3 linked regions of the Arabidopsis thaliana genome follow. The protein of the gene in region 1 interacts with the protein of each later gene in a pairwise test. Each region holds a gene or a part of one and is shown in the gene's direction. Other genes may lie near its edges. The genes, in order: AT3G01516, AT2G27290 and WAK3.

Region 1 (6,911 bases):
GCTGAATAATTTCCAAGTTTAACAGTTACAAACAAATGATTAGTCAAAATAACTAAAATAAATTAGTTATCATATGTTTCACTTTCACTAGGAGTCCAATAGTTGTTATCCTCTAAGATTAAACAAAATAAGCATAATTTAATCAAACGCAACTTTTAGCGAATTTATAAATGACTTTTCCGAACCTTGCTATAACAACTTTGCAATAAACATATTGTCTTTTGAACCCGTCGGCACTAAAATCTCCCTGACAAATGACTCAAGGCCAAATTAACATTCTTATTTGATAAAATTAGGCATAGAAACAAGCATGATTAAATAATTGTACCACATGCCAATATCCATTTCCCAACGAATAGCAACATTGAAGTCCATATTGGCATGTTCTGCCATATAAATTAAACATTGCTGTTGGAATTGTAATCTGTCATATTCTTCGAAGAATAATCCAAAGATTGCTTCTTTTAATTATCACTAAATATTATATAAAGATCGATCTCCATGTTACATTTCTCAATTTCATGTGGAGCAATGAGTTGGCAGCTTAACCATAGTCATTTTTTAATAGAGTCTAATTAATGTTTTCAGTTCGAGTTTGAACATACTATTTGTAGCCTAATCAAGCCCAAATTTGCCCAAATTCAGGGCCGGCCTTCTCCGGAGCTAATTCTTCGCAGTTTCGGGTTACTACTAATTAAATCAGATCAACATCTCCATATTTGCTTTAAGCATTAAGAGTTTAACAGAAGAACCAACAAAAACCAGAAATGCAGAAATGGGGATGTTTTGTGCTATCAAATATCAATTTTCTCATGTGTGATTAATCATGACAATGATTATATTTGTATATTTGATTTTTTTTTTTAACATGAATTGAATACGTATTCGACTAAACCAACTTATTTGGTCTCTTCTATGCTTTCTGATCACTTTCTTTTGTCAACATGCATCTTCTGGTCCAATGCATATAAGTTTAAATTTAAGAAGAATATTCATAATGGAGTCCGTCACCGGCCGTGGAACGCGTATATATGAAGTTATGAACATATTAGTGTCACACATATCAAAACCAGTAATTTGACAAAGATCGACTAGTTGCATTATAGTATATTGTCCGTGATTAATAAAATTACTTGTATTACGGGTTATCCAAATGCGGTCCACAACACACGTACAGCTAACGCCGTTGACTTCTTAAAGTCAACCAAAAAAGGAGAACGTGTCATTACATTACATACTCTGTGTCCAAAACGGAAGAAGATATTGCGGTCAGTGACGCAAACGCAGCAGAATGAGAACGCGACTCTTGTTGCAAGAAGACCGTTGGGTGTGTGCGTACGTGTCACTGACATACTGACAGTTGGACGGTGAAAACTTTGTTACCTAAAGAATTAAAGAGGAGCATCGACGTGGCGGCCTTTGAGCCCGGCGCACGTGATTCTTCGCAGCATCGCACGTGCATGGGCTCAAGCAAAGTGCTTCTAAAGGCAGCAAACATAAGAGGGAAAAAGGCGTCAACGCCGCTGCTTATTACAGATTTTGAAAACCACGACAAATAATACAGTTAATTTGAGAAACTGTTTATTTAGTCTACGTAAAGTTATGCGCAAGTACATAAAATCCATATTAAATTTTTAGAACTCCTAAATACTCCTACTAATCTCGTTGACATATATGATCATTCTACATATAAAAATATCCAAGTGGCTCACATAAAGTTCAGTTTTTACTATATATGAGACTAATTTAAAGAGAGTAATTTGGAGTGTCATGTTACTATAAATTGTAAATTGTTCAAAAGAGGGGGTCTTTTAGTTCGTTTATCAATTGTTTATATAGAAAAAAAAAAAAAAAAGAATAAAGAACGAATTGCATAGGAATGCACATGATCAGGGGCCGAGTTCCCATAAGTTGATTCTCTCTGTCTTCGGGACTCATCAAACACAAAGTTACGATATTTCCTGTAAACCCGTTTCCAACTAATTACTGTATTATGTAATTTTGTATTGTTTTATACCCGGTACCCACTTGAGGATTTTAATCTGAATTGTTTAAGAAATTTTAACTGTAAATTTCATAAAATTACTACTCATTAGTTGTACTTAAAAAAATAATAATTTTTATCTTTCGGAGGATATTTATCTACTAAATTCACATGATATATAGGTATATGTTCATATGTGTAGAATATTGATGCTTTAAGAGAGCTTTTGTAGCTGCTCTAACTGGATTAAAATATTCATGTCAGACCATTATACATATTAGTCTGTATAGTGTATGCTCATGAGACCAGAGAGAGAGAGAGAGAAATGATTTTCAAAAGATAAACATAGAAAAGAGAAGCTCTAATTAATCGAAGATATAATATAATGTGTATTTATAGATCAGATCACATCTTTCTTCTTCTTCTTCTTCTTCTTCTTTCTTGATCTTTTTGGTTGTTACGAGCTTCTTCTTCTCTTTCTCTTCTCAAGCTCATTAGAACATCAATTTAAAACAGAAACTTTTACTATAGACCACGATAACAAATCTGGGTTTTTGTTGTTGTTCTCTCCATGCAGAGAAGAGTTTCAAAAAGGAATACAGGATCTGTGGCTTTTGAGTAGGTTAATTAATTAGTCGACAAGAAAACAAAGGTATGTAACCATTTGATCATTCTCCATTGCTTGTTGTCTCGCTTAGATCCTTATCATATTTAAATGCTAAAATGGATGATTTTTTTTGAGACTTTTTTATATATATATATATATTTATAACTAAACTTTGATAGATAATCTAGTTTAGTTAGTAGTTGCACAAAATACATTTTGAATTCTCCGTTAAATAGGCGTTTCAATTTATAAGAATAAGATTTATGATAATTTTCGGGTTCAAACTTACATATTACACGTTTTGTTATATGTTACACCTAGTTAAACATATAGTGTTTCATCTAGCTATGCATAAGAGTGTCTCACCATAAATCAAATGGGCAGTTTGTGTTTTTTTTTCTTTATATAGACTACACAGAATATATAGTGTGCACTATCTTACGTTTGTCCGGTGTGTCAATGTTGATTTTTGCATCAAGTTCTCCTTCGACAAAACAAAATGACGATATATATCTATCTATATATATATATACAAACTGTATTGGCTTCGTACTATATACATACGTCAGTCTTATTAATTCTACAACGCAGATCAAAATTTGAATTTTGACTAGGCTTTAATGTGTACGATTACCTTATACAAGTGAAAAAGGGTCAATCGTACGTTTACCCTTAAATTTCTTTTTGTTAGTAACATATCGAAAAATAAACCGTTTTATATATATTTTCAAAATACTTATTCTTCTTGTTAATGCTGTCACATATTATAAATCATTACAATGTTTTGACAAATAAAAGAAAAATCATTATTACAAATCTAATCGTTTTAAAATCCTAGGGAATCCTACTAGATTATTATTACTATTGTAGACCTTGTTTCTTTTGTCACATTAATTAATAACAATAAAATAATATATATTTTTAAAAATATTTTTGTTTTGTTTTGCATTGTATATTATTTAGCTGTAGATTTGTAATGGGCCACGTAATTGGGCCATGCTAAGACCCGGCAAACCCATGTGAGATATATGATCTCCCGCACTATAGTCCACGTTATCTCACTGATATCTCATTATTTTAACAATAAGACCGTCTCTTAATTTTATTACAAGTTTTCTTTTACTCTTGTAGCCTTAAATTTTAGGCTGAAAATTAAAGTTTTGAAAAAAGCTATAGGGAGGGACTATGTAAAATAAAAAAATGTACGTTACCATCAGATTTTACCATAAAGAGCCAAAAATAAAATATGCAAAACTCCACTAAAAATAATATTAATTCCCCTAGCCAACAAAAAAGATTCAGATTCATATCCCACGCGCTCGTTCAAATCCTCTCATTCGCCACCTGATCAAACCAATCTCAATTTGAAAATTGAAATAGACAAAATCGTGACATTGGGACATAAAAAAGCACTAGGACAAAATTCTAGTCGACGCAAAAAAAATTCGAAAAACGTGAGTCAGCGTATGTGGTTTACACGCGCCAAAGTGGGAGCGTGAGTGGGGTTTGAATGCACCTGAAACTGTCTGGTCAATAAGTTAAAGTGCATGGGAAAAATCTTGGTTGCTGTTTCCTATATATCTCTCTTTTTACCATCAACATGTTACATATATATATGGACAAAAATCTGTATATGTGAATGCATATAGGAGTGTGATGTATTTATATAAGTTAGTAAGCTTTGTTCTCTTTCTCTATTTTTTTGGCAGGTATATAAAATTTTAAAATGGAGGAGGAAAACCAAAAGTCGCATCGAGTTTCACGTAAAGACCAGAGTGGATCCCACTGGAGTCAAGGAGCCGATGAAGAGCCGAGAGCCAGATGCTCCGGGAAAAGGTGCCGGTCTTGGGCGGCGGCGGCGATCGCTGACTGCGTGGCGCTCTGCTGTTGTCCCTGCGCCGTGGTGAACATCTTCACTCTCGCCTTTGTTAAGGTCCCGTGGATGATAGGCCGGAAATGTATCGGCCGTGGTGGCCCGAGTAAGAAGCGGATGAAGAAAATCAACCGTGAGGATCGGTTTCATCACCATCACCACCACAGGAGGTCGGCCGAGATGGTGAGTGGTGGATGTTGCGGTGGCGGAGATGGAGATGGAGAGTTCGATGACCATCGGTTTGTGGTGGAAAGAGACGGGAGTTTGACCAAAGAGGAAGCCAAAACGGCGTCGTTAAAAGAAGAGGAAGAGACGAGAATAAGTGCGAGAGTGGAAGCAGAGAGAGTTTGGTTAGAGTTGTATCAGATTGGGCATCTTGGCTTTGGTAGAGTCTCCTTCACTGGCATTCATCAATGATAATAGATGAACTTTTAATTATTAGGCGTATATGATTACCAAAACTAAAAATAGATTTTGTGAAATTCTTTAGTGCAGCAAGTAAGATTCCACAAGTATGCATAGAAAAAAAAAAAAAGATTACACAAGTATTAATTTATAGAGGTTTTAGTGCAACATGTAACTCATAAGGATTAAGGAAACAAAAAGTATTTGTGAAATAAGAGAGTACATTATATTATAGAAATGGGCTAATATACATTTGGGCCCTTGTTAAAGGGCTTTCACATGAACCGCATTAAAGGGTAGTTTAGGACATTTACGATAGAACTTGGTAGGCGTAGCTAGCTGTCCTGTAACAGAAAAAACCTGCGCATTTTAGCATGCTTATGAAATTCATTTGCTAAAAGACGCATAGACACGTCGTGGGCGAAGGGTTCTTTGTCTTCTTCCCCCAACTGAGCAAGATTGTTTTCCTTAAGAGCTTCATCGTCATCATCCGAGAATTGGAGCAGAGATACGAAGATTTGGCGAAAAATGGGGAGCGAGCCAACAAAAGTGATGGTGGCGGTGAACGCTTCGACGATCAAAGACTATCCTAACCCTTCGATTAGCTGCAAAAGAGCATTCGAATGGACTCTGGAGAAGATCGTAAGGTCCAACACTTCCGATTTCAAGATTCTCTTGCTCCACGTACAAGTCGTCGACGAAGACGGTTCTTCTCTCTCCTTAAATATTTATTTATCTTTGAATATGTTCGTGCGTATGTCTGTTTGTGGGAAATCATGATCTTAGTTTTGGACGATGATGTCGTATATATAGATCGGTCTGCATATGTCTCTGAGTTTTGACCGAGAAGGATCGACTGTGCTTTTTTGTTACTAGTAGTGTCGGTTGGTCGTTGAGATTATCTCTTCTGGACAAACTTTTGTTCGGATTTTGATGTTACATTTGAAGAGGATGTGTTAGCTTGTATTGGACTTTTCTCGGTTATATGTTTAGAAGAGGAGATGACTCTTTCGTGATATTTGTTTTGTTCTGTTTCTCGCTTTGAGTCAGAACAATGTGTTTTGCTTAGTTTCTCTCTTGTGGTGTTATTAAGGCCTGTTTTGTTTGTGACTTGGAAACCAGGTTTTGATGACGTGGATAGCATTTATGCTTCCCCTGAGGATTTCCGAGACATGAGACAATCTAACAAGGCAAAAGGTCTTCACCTTCTCGAGTTTTTCGTTAATAAATGTCATGAGATTGGGGTAAACACACTCTCTCTTTTTAGCTCAAATCAAGTTATCCTCCGCTGTGTCTATGAACTTCTTTGTTTTGTATCTCATTGCAACTACTGTAACTTTGTGATGTTTTATGATTAAATTCTAGCTGTGCAAAACTTGTAGGTTGGTTGCGAGGCCTGGATTAAGACAGGTGATCCCAAGGATGTCATATGCCAAGAAGTGAAGCGAGTTCGACCAGATTTTCTGGTCGTGGGAAGTCGTGGACTTGGCCGGTTTCAAAAGTGCGTATAATACTCAAACACATTCATGACTTATTAGTCATTACTTTACCCCTATATATCATCAACTAGTTATTAGACTGAATGATGAATAGCAATCAGACTTTAACTGCTATAAAGGATTACAGATAGGTAGGATTCTTGATCTTGACACAAGTTTGAGTTAAATAGATTTAGTTCAAGACGGGGCAGGAACAGAGCCAAACAAAGGAATTGTCATTCTAAGTTATACAAACATTGAGCCAGGCATAACTTGAAACTATAGAGTCTAAGTTACTACTATTGCTGTTGTTTTGAATCGTGATGGGTTTTGTTATAACATGGGTTTGCTTTGCAGGGTCTTTGTGGGGACTGTGAGTGCGTTCTGTGTGAAACATGCGGAGTGTCCAGTTATGACGATCAAACGCAATGCCGATGAAACTCCCAGTGATCCAGCTGATGACTAAACAATAACAACGTCCCTTCCTTCTTTGATCTATACAGAGAGAGAGTGCTTTTGTGTGTACAAAATCCAAATTCCTACCCCTATATGTATTTGTATCTG
Region 2 (5,590 bases), on another chromosome or scaffold:
AGATTAGAAATTGCAATAAAAAAATATAATGTATTTAATAAAATAGATTCATCGACAAAAAAATAATAAAATAGATTCATATAAAACTTGTATTACACAAAAGAAAATATCTTGGCGCAAGATAATAAAATAATTACAAAGTGATTTAAATTCATTTTGATTGCCGTCAAAAACAAAAATTCATTTTGATAAGTTATTACACCCAAAAAAACAAAAACAAAAACTTATTGGCATGCGGGGTACAAACACCGAGGAAGATATCGAAACACGTGTTTAAAAATGAAGAGACGATTTATTAAGCATCAATGAGAGAACTTCAGAGCTGGGTTTGAGTTCTGTCCAATAATACATAACCACGTTATCATTTTTGTCCTTTACTATCTCATTACACTCTTCTGTTATTCGCCCAATTCTTACAGTCATTGTCCACGTCATCCTTTTTCCCTCTGAAGCCGCCAAATATCAAAAAACACAAAACCTTTACCCGAAGCAAAGTAGCTGCACACTTGCCATTTATAAGGCATGTTTCTTCATCTAAAGCAAAGTATTTTCGAGTTCCTGAGCCAAAAAGATCAAACAATGTCTAAAGAAGCTGAGATGTCGATCGCGGTGTCGGCTTTGTTCCCTGGTTTTAGATTCTCTCCTACTGATGTTGAACTTATCTCGTACTATCTTCGTCGTAAAATCGATGGTGATGAGAACTCTGTTGCTGTGATTGCTGAGGTCGAGATTTACAAGTTCGAGCCGTGGGACTTGCCAGGTTTTACTTCGGTTTTCTTTCTCTTTATGTTTACTTTGGTTCACTAATTTGAATGTTTGTGCCTATAAAACAGAGGAATCGAAACTGAAATCGGAGAACGAGTGGTTTTACTTCTGCGCGAGGGGGAGGAAGTACCCGCACGGGTCACAAAGCCGGCGAGCCACACAGCTAGGATATTGGAAAGCGACCGGTAAAGAGCGGAGTGTTAAATCCGGGAACCAAGTTGTTGGAACCAAGAGAACGCTTGTATTTCATATCGGTCGGGCTCCTCGTGGCGAGAGAACGGAGTGGATTATGCATGAATACTGCATCCATGGAGCCCCACAGGTTCTTAAAACTTTCATTTTGAATAGGTTGAGTTTTAATGTTTTGAGATATATTGAAATTTGGATTTCACAGGATGCATTAGTGGTGTGCCGGTTAAGAAAAAATGCTGATTTTCGGGCTAGTTCGACCCAAAAAATGGAGGATGGTGTTGTGCAAGACGATGGCTACGTTGGCCAAAGAGGTGGTTTGGAGAAGGAGGACAAATCCTACTATGAATCTGAGCATCAGATACCAAATGGTGACATCGCAGAATCATCAAATGTTGTTGAGGTCAGCTTGCTTTTGAGGAATGTGTCTTTTAACGATGTTTAATACTGGTAAAATTATCCGCTCCAATCTTAATCGAAACCACATTAAATTCAATATAGTTCCGAAAACAGAACCGATTAAGAAACTAAAACCAAACCAACACCATAGTACCATACTATAACGGATTCATAGTACATTAGATTTCACTAAAGTTGTTATTTTACTAAAGCAGATTCTAAACTTAAAACGTAACAAACCAATATATCCAATGTTTGGTTTTTATTTTGGCTACTAATATTATAACTCAATAGACTAAACCAACACTTGGGCTGAACATCCTTAGTTTTCTTGTACTGGTAGAGTTTAGAGTTTGTAACTGAAGTTGATCTCTTTCTATTGCGATGCAGGATCAGGCCGATACCGATGATGATTGTTACGCCGAGATTCTGAACGATGATATAATAAAGCTCGACGAAGAAGCGTTGAAAGCTAGCCAAGCGTTTCGACCAACTAATCCAACTCATCAAGAAACAATATCAAGCGAGTCATCGAGTAAGAGGTCAAAATGTGGTATAAAAAAAGAATCAACGGAAACAATGAATTGTTACGCTTTGTTCAGGATCAAGAACGTTGCCGGAACCGACTCCAGCTGGAGATTCCCGAACCCGTTCAAAATCAAGAAAGATGATAGCCAGAGATTGATGAAGAATGTTCTGGCCACTACTGTTTTCTTGGCTATCTTATTTTCTTTCTTTTGGACTGTATTAATAGCTAGGAACTAAAGCTAGTTACGACATACATATTATTTATACATAAATAAATATAGTATTTGGTCTATGGCAATATGGCATGTTGAGCTAGTCTTAACAATTATTCAAACTTGTGTACAAACCAAAATTTTTATGGAAAAGAGAATATTTTCGGATAGTAAACCTTTATAATCTGGGTGAAAGCTTTGGGAAAGAGATGATAGTTCCGTGAAAATAGAGACAACAAATTTCACATATAGTAAATGTGAATAATACCACCATTTCCTTAAGTTTTGCTGTTTGTTGTATTAGAGATTGCAAAGTGATATTCTTAGTTATATACAATTGTAATAAATTATACAAAATCCATAAGTAAAATAAATTATTTTAGACTATGTTTAGATATACAAAAGTTTCAGTTCAAAATATAAACGCCTGAGAATCAAACAAATGTTGTTTGTAGTTTTTTATATTTATAAAATAGTCTAAAAATATTTTTCTTACTTATGGATTTTTTATACTATATTAAAGTTTTATATATGTAAAAGATTACTCTGGAACCTCTAATACAACAAATGGTATACCTTCAGAAAAAAATAAAAAATAATTGTGTGTCATACAATAAATAAAAATAATAAGGTGAAAAGATTTGCTTTCTGTTTTTTTTGGTGGCTGAAAAAAACAATGGCGATGATGCTTCTGCAAATTCCTCCTTCGTCTTCCTTGTTGAACACCAGAAACCTTCAAATCCGATTCTTCCACTCTTCAGTTTCAGCTTCCTCGAAGAAATTCAGATGCAGAGCCGTCCGTGAGAAGGCGGAGGACATTGATAAGAACATTTCGCCGCCGTCTTCTTCTCCTCCTCCTCCTTCCGCCGAAGAAGTTACCAAGAAATATGGCCTTGAAGTTGGTCTATGGAAGGTAAAATCAATTCGATTGCGCAATTTCTCGTTTTAATTCGTAATCTAAAATTGATGATTCTATCGCTATGGAAGCTTTAAGTGTAAGTAAAATAGTGTTTTTGGATGAACATGTGAGGACATATGATTGTTTCTGAGCTGAATGATAGGCTAATTCAGAGCAATTTTGGTATTAGTAGAAGCTATTGAAGCTTTAAGTGTAACTAAAATGGTGTTTTGTATGATTATGTGAGCAATTTTGTAGTTGTTGAAGCTATGGAAGCTTCTAAGGGTACTAAAATGGTGTTTAGATGATTATGTGAGTAGATATGATCGTTTTCGTGGTAGTTGTAGAAGTTATGTAAGCTTTTAACTATGCTAAAATGGTGTTTTTTTTTATCAACAAGTGAGCATATGTGATTGGTTAGTTTGGAGCATTTTTGGAAGTTGTAGAATCTATGGAAGTTTTTGTGTAGTAAAATGGTGTTTTGGATGGACTTGTGATTAGATATTAAGCTCTAAGGATGATGAAGGAAGTGATGGAGACAATAAGAAGAAGAAATCAAAAACAGATGAGGCTAAAGAGTTACTTGCAAAGTATGGTGGTGCTTATCTCGCTACATCTATTACTCTTTCTCTCATTTCCTTCTCACTCTGCTATGTCCTTGTGACTTCCGGTGTTGATGTTCAAGCTCTTCTTCTAAAGGTTACTACTTTCACTTCTTGATCATACTAAGTTTATGTTTTCTTGATCTTGGGTTGAGTAAAGCTGATTTTGATGTTTTGTGTTTAAGGTTGGGATTTCGACGAATGAGACAGGAGAGAAAGTAGGAGCCTTTGCTTTGGCTTACGCAGCGCATAAAGCTGCATCTCCGATAAGGTTTCCGCCTACAGTGGCTTTGACTCCTATTGTAGCCAATTGGATTGGGAAGAAAGTGGACAAGGAGAAGGATGATGACAAGTAGCTTACTTTGGAGGTATTATAATGTAGATGTTCTATATATTACTTGATAATCAACATACATAATCCTGTACAATCCTCACTTCTCTACCTTGTATGTACAAAAAAGATTGAAGCATATCTGAATATGATGATGAGTTAGAAAGATACAGAACCAAAGAGTGGCAGAATCCAAGTTGTGATATAGTTTTAGACTTGTCTATTTAATATGTGGTTGGTTGGAAATTACGACTTCACGATTCACTAACCTCTAGACATTTGGTAAGTGGGAGAAGTAGTTGTCAAATGGTTGGGAATGATCTCTGTGATCCAGAGCATATGACCTCGATCGTTTTGGTGATGCATTTTAACTTGTACTCTAGAACCTCATTATCTCGGCCCATCAAAATATGAAAACATTGGGCCGTAACAATTGGGCCGTAATCATCTATACCATCTATAGTTAATTGGATCTTTTTATCTCCTCCCTTCCTCTTTCACTTTCTTCCATGGATTACTAAATTCCTTAATCCTGGGAAAATCACACCAATCAACTTTTGTGAATTGTAACCCTAATCGATTCTACAGCGAAATCTACCTATTTCATGCTTGGGTTTGATTAGTGTTTTTCCAGAATCTGGGACTTCGCAGGAATTGCGCTAATTTTCAATCGATTTTGCAGAAGTTTGTTGCTCCTGGAATAGAAATCGAAGATGAAGAAGTACGGATTGCAAATCAGAGCTCCTTCCCAGAAAAAACAATCATCATCTCGACCTCCACTTCGACCCGCTTCAATATTTGATGAAGAAGAAGATCACGACGTCGAGAAGGAGATTTCTCGTCAAGCAACAAAGACCAAAGCTCATAAAGAAGTAAGCTTTTTTCCTCCACTGACTCGAGTTCTTGTTTCTTATATTTCCTTCAATTTGATCTGCTTGATAAGTGATTGTGTGTTTTAGATTGAGGAGCAGCATAAGAAAGCCTTAGAGGAGGATCCTTCTGCTTTTTCATATGATGAAGTTTATGATGATATGAAACAGAAAGCTGTTCTTCCTCGAATGCAAGATCGTGAAGAACGCAAGGTAATGTTTATCTCTTAGAGAGCTTAAGACTTGAAGCTTCTGTAGCTTAGGGAATCAAAATCTATGTTTCCATGTTCTTAAGAGGAATCTATGATCTGTGTCGGGCTTGGTTTATCATATGATTGAAGTATAGGAAGCCATAACTTAGCTGGATTTTCTTATTACCCTTAGAAACCACCAAAATCTTGATATCCTGCAATACCCTAACAACTACCAGCCTATAACCCATGGCTACATATAGTTACCAAAAAGTGTAAAGCTTAGTTACTTTGTTTTAGTTAAGTAGAGGTGAAGTTTCTGAGCCTCTACATGCGTCAGTTTTAGTAGTTTCTTATGGTGTTACATTCTCTGTAGTTGGGGCACTTTAATTAGGTTTCAGAATGACTTATTGGATTGCTTATGTTTCATTTAGTTTTCTTTTTCTAATTGCAGCCAAGGTATATACAGAATTTGATGAAACAGGCAGAACGTAGAGAGAAAGAACATGAGATAGTTTATGAGAGAAAGCTTGCGAAAGAGAGGGAGAAAGACGAACATCTTTTTTCGGATAAAGAAAAGTTTGTTACTGGCGCTTATAAAAGGAA
Region 3 (6,684 bases), on another chromosome or scaffold:
GAAGAAGGCATGAAGGAAGCAACTGATGGTTATAATGAGAGCAGAATCCTAGGCCAGGGAGGACAAGGAACAGTCTACAAAGGGATATTGCAAGATAACTCCATTGTTGCTATAAAGAAAGCTCGACTTGGAGACCGTAGCCAAGTAGAGCAGTTCATCAACGAAGTGCTAGTGCTTTCACAAATAAACCACAGGAACGTGGTCAAACTCTTGGGCTGTTGTCTAGAGACTGAAGTTCCCTTGTTGGTCTATGAGTTCATTTCCAGTGGCACTCTTTTTGATCACTTGCACGGTTCTATGTTTGATTCTTCGCTTACATGGGAACACCGTCTGAGGATAGCCATAGAAGTTGCTGGAACTCTTGCATATCTTCACTCCTATGCTTCTATTCCAATCATCCACCGAGATGTCAAGACTGCTAACATTCTCCTCGATGAAAACTTAACTGCAAAAGTAGCTGATTTTGGTGCATCAAGGCTGATACCGATGGACCAAGAGCAGCTCACAACTATGGTTCAAGGAACTCTTGGCTATTTAGACCCTGAATACTACAATACAGGGCTTCTGAACGAAAAGAGCGATGTTTATAGCTTTGGGGTAGTCCTCATGGAACTGCTCTCAGGTGAAAAGGCATTATGCTTTGAACGGCCACAAAGCTCAAAACATCTAGTGAGTTACTTTGTTTCTGCCATGAAAGAAAATAGGTTGCATGAGATTATTGACGGTCAAGTTATGAACGAGTATAATCAGAGGGAGATCCAGGAATCTGCAAGAATTGCTGTTGAGTGTACAAGAATTATGGGAGAGGAAAGGCCAAGTATGAAAGAAGTAGCTGCAGAGTTAGAGGCCTTGAGAGTCAAAACAACCAAACATCAGTGGTCAGATCAATATCCCAAGGAGGTTGAGCATTTGCTTGGTGTTCAAATCTTATCGACGCAAGGTGATACCAGTAGCATTGGCTATGACAGCATCCAGAATGTAACAAGGTTGGACATTGAAACTGGCCGCTGATATTTATCAATCTTTTGTTTGTGAAAAAGTAAAGCCACTTATTTATTGCTTATGTCCTATATGTTTCCTAACACTTCAAAAAAAACAGAGTATCAAAACATGATATTCAAGAACATTTATGCTCGAGAGATCCGTTGTAGATCATCAATTATTCATTTTATAACTCCATTCGATTGGTAAGCTAACCAGTAGACGATTCGGTATGAGAAAAATTAAGAATTCATGAATCTACTAGCAGAGATATTGATATACTGTTGTGGTTGCAAAACAATAACTCGAATTTAAAGGGCTCAGTTGCTTAAAACATCCTATTTGATCCACAGCTTGACTCATATATTGTTTTGGTACTGGCATCTATAATTTAATACTGCGTTTTCTAAATTAACAAAATCATTCTTGCTGCATAAGATTGCTCTGGTTTTGAAGCCATCAAGTTTTCTTATTTTGTTAAAAATTTATGATCTTTAACCATAAGTAATATATATAGTGAAAACATGAGAAAATTTGGTGGATTCTAGAAAAGCACTCTCCGTCAACGTGATCGATATTATGATGAAATGATTACAAAGATGCAATTATATATATCCACGAGCAACAAGACGAAGACAAAAATGTAAACAAGTTAACATATGATTTTGGAATTAGATCAGTAATAAACAAACATATGCACAACTACATGAGAAGTAAAAACTAGTAAACGAGAAATCTCTAACTTAAGATGCGTGGTATGTACGTAACTCCAAAAGAACAACTTGACATTTTTTTTTTTTTTTTTTTTTTGAATGTAATGTTAAATTATATTCAAGAAAAATAACGTTTTTGATACAAGGCTTTGAAAGTATGAAAGAACAACTTGACTATTTGATAAACAACTTGACTCATATATTGCTCTGTTATTAAAATTTTAATACTGCGTTTTCTAAATTAAATTATCATTCTTGCTGCATAAGATTGTTGTGGTTTTGTAACCATCAAATTTTCCTTTTTTGTTAAAACTCTGATCTTTAGTAAATTGAGAAAGCTACCTCTACTATACCCTTAAAATCTCTAAGTCTGGTCTGTCAAAGATTATTTTAATCATCAAACAGTGTATTTTCAGTTTTTTCTCAAGATTTTCCCTCAGTTTCTTTGAATGAATCTGGTTTCTTTCGGTGAAAGAGTGCTGGTCGTAATTGAGTTTGGTTTGTAATATATTACTTAAGTGTCGTGTCTGTTAAGTTAAAGTAGTTATGTTTGTTGTGTCACAAGAAAGAAGAGTCATAACTCTTGACTTTTCATGTCTGTTGGTTTGTATTTAAGTTAATTGTTGTAAACCTTGTAAAACAGTTGTTGTATTTCACTTTCTCTATAATAGAAAGACAAGTTCTTCTCTTTATTGTTATGTTGACGATCAAACCAATTGTGATACAAAGTCTGATTCTCTTTCTCTGTTCTTAACTCTGTTCTGTTTCTAGAAGGAGATTCAGTTTCTAACAAAGTGGTGGATTTGCATGGAAATTTCTCATAGATAACCTCTTGAAGAGTAAGCAGCGACATGACACATGAGGCAAGAACTATTCAAATTCTTCGAAAACTTGTTGACATTTATAAACTCAACACACACACACACACAAAAAAACTACATATTTCTACTATTACGACAGCAGAAGAAAACAGAGCATGTTGTGATCATGATGAGTCTTATTCCTACATTGTCACTATAACGAGACTTTCATATATGAACAATAAATTGGAGTTTCCTGGAAAAATCAAGACAAGAAAGAAAGGACAGATAAAGAAGTTGACGCATTTATATTTTTCTAACGTCTAGTAGTCTGAATCTTTACTTTTCTTCACATTTGATTATTCAACAATGTCAAATCAGGGGTTACTTTTCAAGCTATAAGAAGCGAATAAGCGATGAGAGAAAACTCAAAGAGAAACAAGTTTAGAGAGAAAGAAAGAGAAAGGTAGAAGATGAAGTTCCAGGAGGGTGTGTTCTTGGTGGTTATTTTCTTCCTTGCATATACTCAGCTTGTGAAGGGGCAACATCAACCTCGCGAAGATTGTAAACTTAAATGTGGAAACGTCACAATAGAGTACCCTTTTGGTATTTCTACAGGTTGTTACTATCCCGGAGATGATAATTTCAATCTCACCTGTGTCGTGGAAGAGAAGCTACTACTCTTTGGCATCATTCAAGTGACCAATATTTCTCACAGTGGCCATGTAAGTGTACTGTTTGAACGATTCTCTGAATGCTACGAGCAGAAAAATGAGACTAATGGAACTGCCCTCGGGTATCAGCTGGGTAGTAGTTTCTCTCTCTCCTCCAACAACAAGTTTACTTTAGTAGGATGTAACGCTTTATCACTTTTGAGCACTTTTGGAAAGCAAAACTACTCAACTGGATGCTTGTCATTATGCAATTCTCAACCAGAGGCAAATGGAAGATGTAATGGTGTAGGTTGCTGCACAACAGAGGACTTCTCTGTCCCGTTCGATAGCGATACATTCCAATTTGGCTCAGTTCGCTTGAGAAACCAAGTTAATAATTCCTTAGATCTATTTAATACTTCGGTATATCAGTTTAATCCTTGCACCTACGCTTTTCTCGTTGAAGATGGTAAGTTTAACTTCGATTCTTCAAAAGATCTTAAGAATCTGAGGAATGTCACGAGGTTCCCTGTGGCACTAGATTGGTCTATTGGAAACCAGACATGTGAGCAAGCTGGAAGCACAAGAATATGCGGTAAGAACAGCTCATGTTACAATTCTACTACTAGAAACGGGTATATCTGCAAATGTAATGAAGGTTATGATGGGAATCCATACCGTTCAGAGGGTTGCAAAGGTACTTCATATTAATTTCTTTGCTTTCTTTCTTCTTTTGAGTGTTTATAATCTTCCTCATACGTTTTTGGTTGCATCTTGTGCACTTATTCCTTTGGTCAGACATCGATGAGTGTATTAGTGATACACATAACTGTTCGGATCCAAAAACCTGTAGAAACAGGGATGGAGGCTTCGATTGTAAGTGTCCATCTGGTTACGACTTAAACTCCAGTATGAGCTGCACGAGGCCCGAATACAAACGGACTCGAATTTTTCTTGGTAAACACTCTTCACTGGTTCTAGATTCTCTTTAAATCAACTCGCTCTAATCATCTATGCATGATGTTATCAGTAATCATAATCGGCGTCTTGGTCCTCCTGCTTGCTGCGATCTGTATACAACATGCAACGAAGCAAAGGAAGTATACCAAGCTCCGACGACAATTCTTTGAGCAAAATGGTGGTGGCATGTTGATACAGCGACTTTCAGGAGCAGGGTTGTCAAACATTGATTTCAAAATCTTTACTGAGGAAGGCATGAAAGAGGCAACTAATGGCTATGATGAGAGCAGAATCTTGGGCCAGGGAGGTCAAGGAACAGTCTACAAAGGGATATTGCCGGACAACACTATCGTTGCTATAAAGAAAGCTCGGCTTGCAGACAGTAGACAAGTAGATCAGTTCATCCACGAAGTGCTCGTGCTTTCACAAATTAACCACAGGAACGTGGTCAAGATCTTGGGTTGCTGTCTAGAGACTGAAGTCCCCTTGTTGGTCTATGAATTCATTACCAATGGCACCCTTTTCGATCACTTGCACGGTTCCATTTTTGATTCTTCTCTTACATGGGAACACCGCCTCAGAATAGCGATAGAAGTCGCTGGAACTCTTGCTTATCTTCACTCCTCTGCTTCTATTCCAATCATCCATCGCGATATCAAAACTGCAAATATTCTCTTGGATGAAAACTTAACTGCAAAAGTAGCCGACTTTGGCGCTTCTAAGCTTATACCAATGGATAAAGAGCAGCTCACAACTATGGTGCAAGGCACTCTAGGCTATTTAGACCCAGAATACTATACCACAGGGCTTCTGAACGAGAAGAGCGATGTGTATAGCTTTGGGGTAGTCCTCATGGAACTGCTCTCAGGTCAAAAGGCATTGTGCTTTGAACGGCCACAGGCTTCAAAACATTTGGTGAGTTACTTTGTTTCTGCCACGGAAGAGAATAGGTTGCATGAGATTATTGACGACCAAGTGTTGAACGAGGATAATCTGAAGGAGATCCAGGAAGCTGCAAGAATTGCTGCAGAGTGTACAAGGCTAATGGGAGAGGAAAGGCCAAGGATGAAAGAAGTAGCTGCAAAGCTAGAAGCCTTGAGGGTCGAGAAAACCAAACATAAGTGGTCGGATCAGTATCCTGAGGAGAATGAACACTTGATTGGTGGTCACATCTTGTCTGCACAAGGCGAAACCAGTAGCAGCATTGGCTATGATAGCATCAAAAATGTAGCAATATTGGACATTGAAACTGGCCGCTGATATTGCTCACAAAATCACATGTATCTCTTTTGTTTGTAAAAAAAGAAAACCACTTATTTGTTGCTTCATCAATATGCTTTGAGAGCTTGTTTGTTCATCATCAATAATCATGTTCATATTTTCCTTTACTTGGTATACTATGGTGCAAGGCACTCTAGGCTATTTAGACCCAGAATACTATACCACAGGGCTTCTGAACGAGAAGAGCGATGTGTATAGCTTTGGGGTAGTCCTCATGGAACTGCTCTCAGGTCAAAAGGCATTGTGCTTTGAACGGCCACAGGCTTCAAAACATTTGGTGAGTTACTTTGTTTCTGCCACGGAAGAGAATAGGTTGCATGAGATTATTGACGACCAAGTGTTGAACGAGGATAATCTGAAGGAGATCCAGGAAGCTGCAAGAATTGCTGCAGAGTGTACAAGGCTAATGGGAAAAGAAAGGCCAAGGATGAAAGAAGTAGCTGTAGAGCTAGAAACTTTGAGCGTCAAAACAACCAAACATAATTGGTCGGATCAGTATCGAGAGGAGAATTTACACTTGCTTGGTAGCAACATCGTGTCTTCCCAAGGCGATACCAATAGCCGTGGTTATGACAGCGTCAAGAATGTAGCATTGCTTGACATTGAAGCTGGCCGCTGATAAATTTTGTTTGTTAAAAAGTATATTGTTTAATTCTTTATTGTTTATCTCCTTTTGTCTTTATAAACATAACCAGAATATCAAAACATGACATTCAAAAACATTGATATCCTTGTAGATCATCCATATATACTCATGTTCACAATTCTCCTATATTTTTATATGCTAACCAGTAGCTGATTAGGTATTAGAAAAACTACCTAGAGTTCATAAATATGATTCCATACGACATTAATATATCATTGTGCTTAATTATAAAGAAAAACAAAACAACTCGAGAAGAAAAAACACTAGAATTTAAAGTAGGCGTCAAAAACAGAGGAGAGTAAGTATACTATGAATATGATCATCGAAATCTTCAGCACCTGGTCGAGTTCATCGTAGATACCGCTTCCTCAAACCAAACCATATGATTCTTTGTTAGTTGCTTGGTAAACTAAAAAAATAAAAGACTCATTTGGTGCAAACTTCATATTTGATCTACAGCTTGAGTCATCATGTTTCGTTACTCATCTACAACCCATCATTCTTGTTGCATAAGATTGCTTGATATTGTATATCACATCAAATCTCTTAATTTGTTTCTTGTTAAAATATATGATTTTTAGTAAGTGTTAGTCAGCAATCCTACGATTATTGGCAGGTTAGTCACCAATCAAAGCATGATCACTTGTTGT

The links.
Region 2: the proteins of AT3G01516 (region 1) and AT2G27290 interact in a protein complementation assay, tested with the Arabidopsis thaliana proteins (one large-scale study listed by BioGRID).
Region 3: the proteins of AT3G01516 (region 1) and WAK3 interact in a protein complementation assay, tested with the Arabidopsis thaliana proteins (one large-scale study listed by BioGRID).

The regions. Positions count from the first base shown.
Region 1 is NC_003074.8:203,109-210,019, forward strand, and holds AT3G01516 (uncharacterized protein), read left to right. Parts: upstream 1-2,205; 5' UTR 2,206-2,636; intron 2,637-3,387; exon of another isoform or gene 3,388-4,300; 5' UTR 4,301-4,317; coding exon 4,318-4,881; 3' UTR 4,882-5,112; downstream 5,113-6,911. Other genes in the region: AT3G01520 (Adenine nucleotide alpha hydrolases-like superfamily protein), read left to right, coding at 5,398-5,575, 5,992-6,113, 6,252-6,370, 6,705-6,813.
Region 2 is NC_003071.7:11,676,945-11,682,534, reverse strand, and holds AT2G27290 (FAM210B-like protein, putative (DUF1279)), read left to right. Parts: upstream 1-2,615; 5' UTR 2,616-2,769; coding exon 2,770-3,006; intron 3,007-3,492; coding exon 3,493-3,690; intron 3,691-3,778; coding exon 3,779-3,949; 3' UTR 3,950-4,230; downstream 4,231-5,590. Other genes in the region: NTL8 (NTM1-like 8), read left to right, coding at 580-760, 834-1,087, 1,160-1,357, 1,744-2,118; AT2G27285 (nuclear speckle splicing regulatory-like protein (DUF2040)), read left to right, coding at 4,638-4,796, 4,884-5,006, 5,439-5,590.
Region 3 is NC_003070.9:7,431,336-7,438,019, forward strand, and holds WAK3 (wall associated kinase 3), read left to right. Parts: upstream 1-2,899; 5' UTR 2,900-2,967; coding exon 2,968-3,844; intron 3,845-3,945; coding exon 3,946-4,104; intron 4,105-4,177; coding exon 4,178-5,367; 3' UTR 5,368-5,495; downstream 5,496-6,684. Other genes in the region: WAK5 (wall associated kinase 5), read left to right, coding at 1-1,011; AT1G21245 (Protein kinase superfamily protein), read left to right, coding at 5,507-6,007. UniProt on the Arabidopsis thaliana protein: Serine/threonine-protein kinase that may function as a signaling receptor of extracellular matrix component. Binding to pectin may have significance in the control of cell expansion, morphogenesis and development.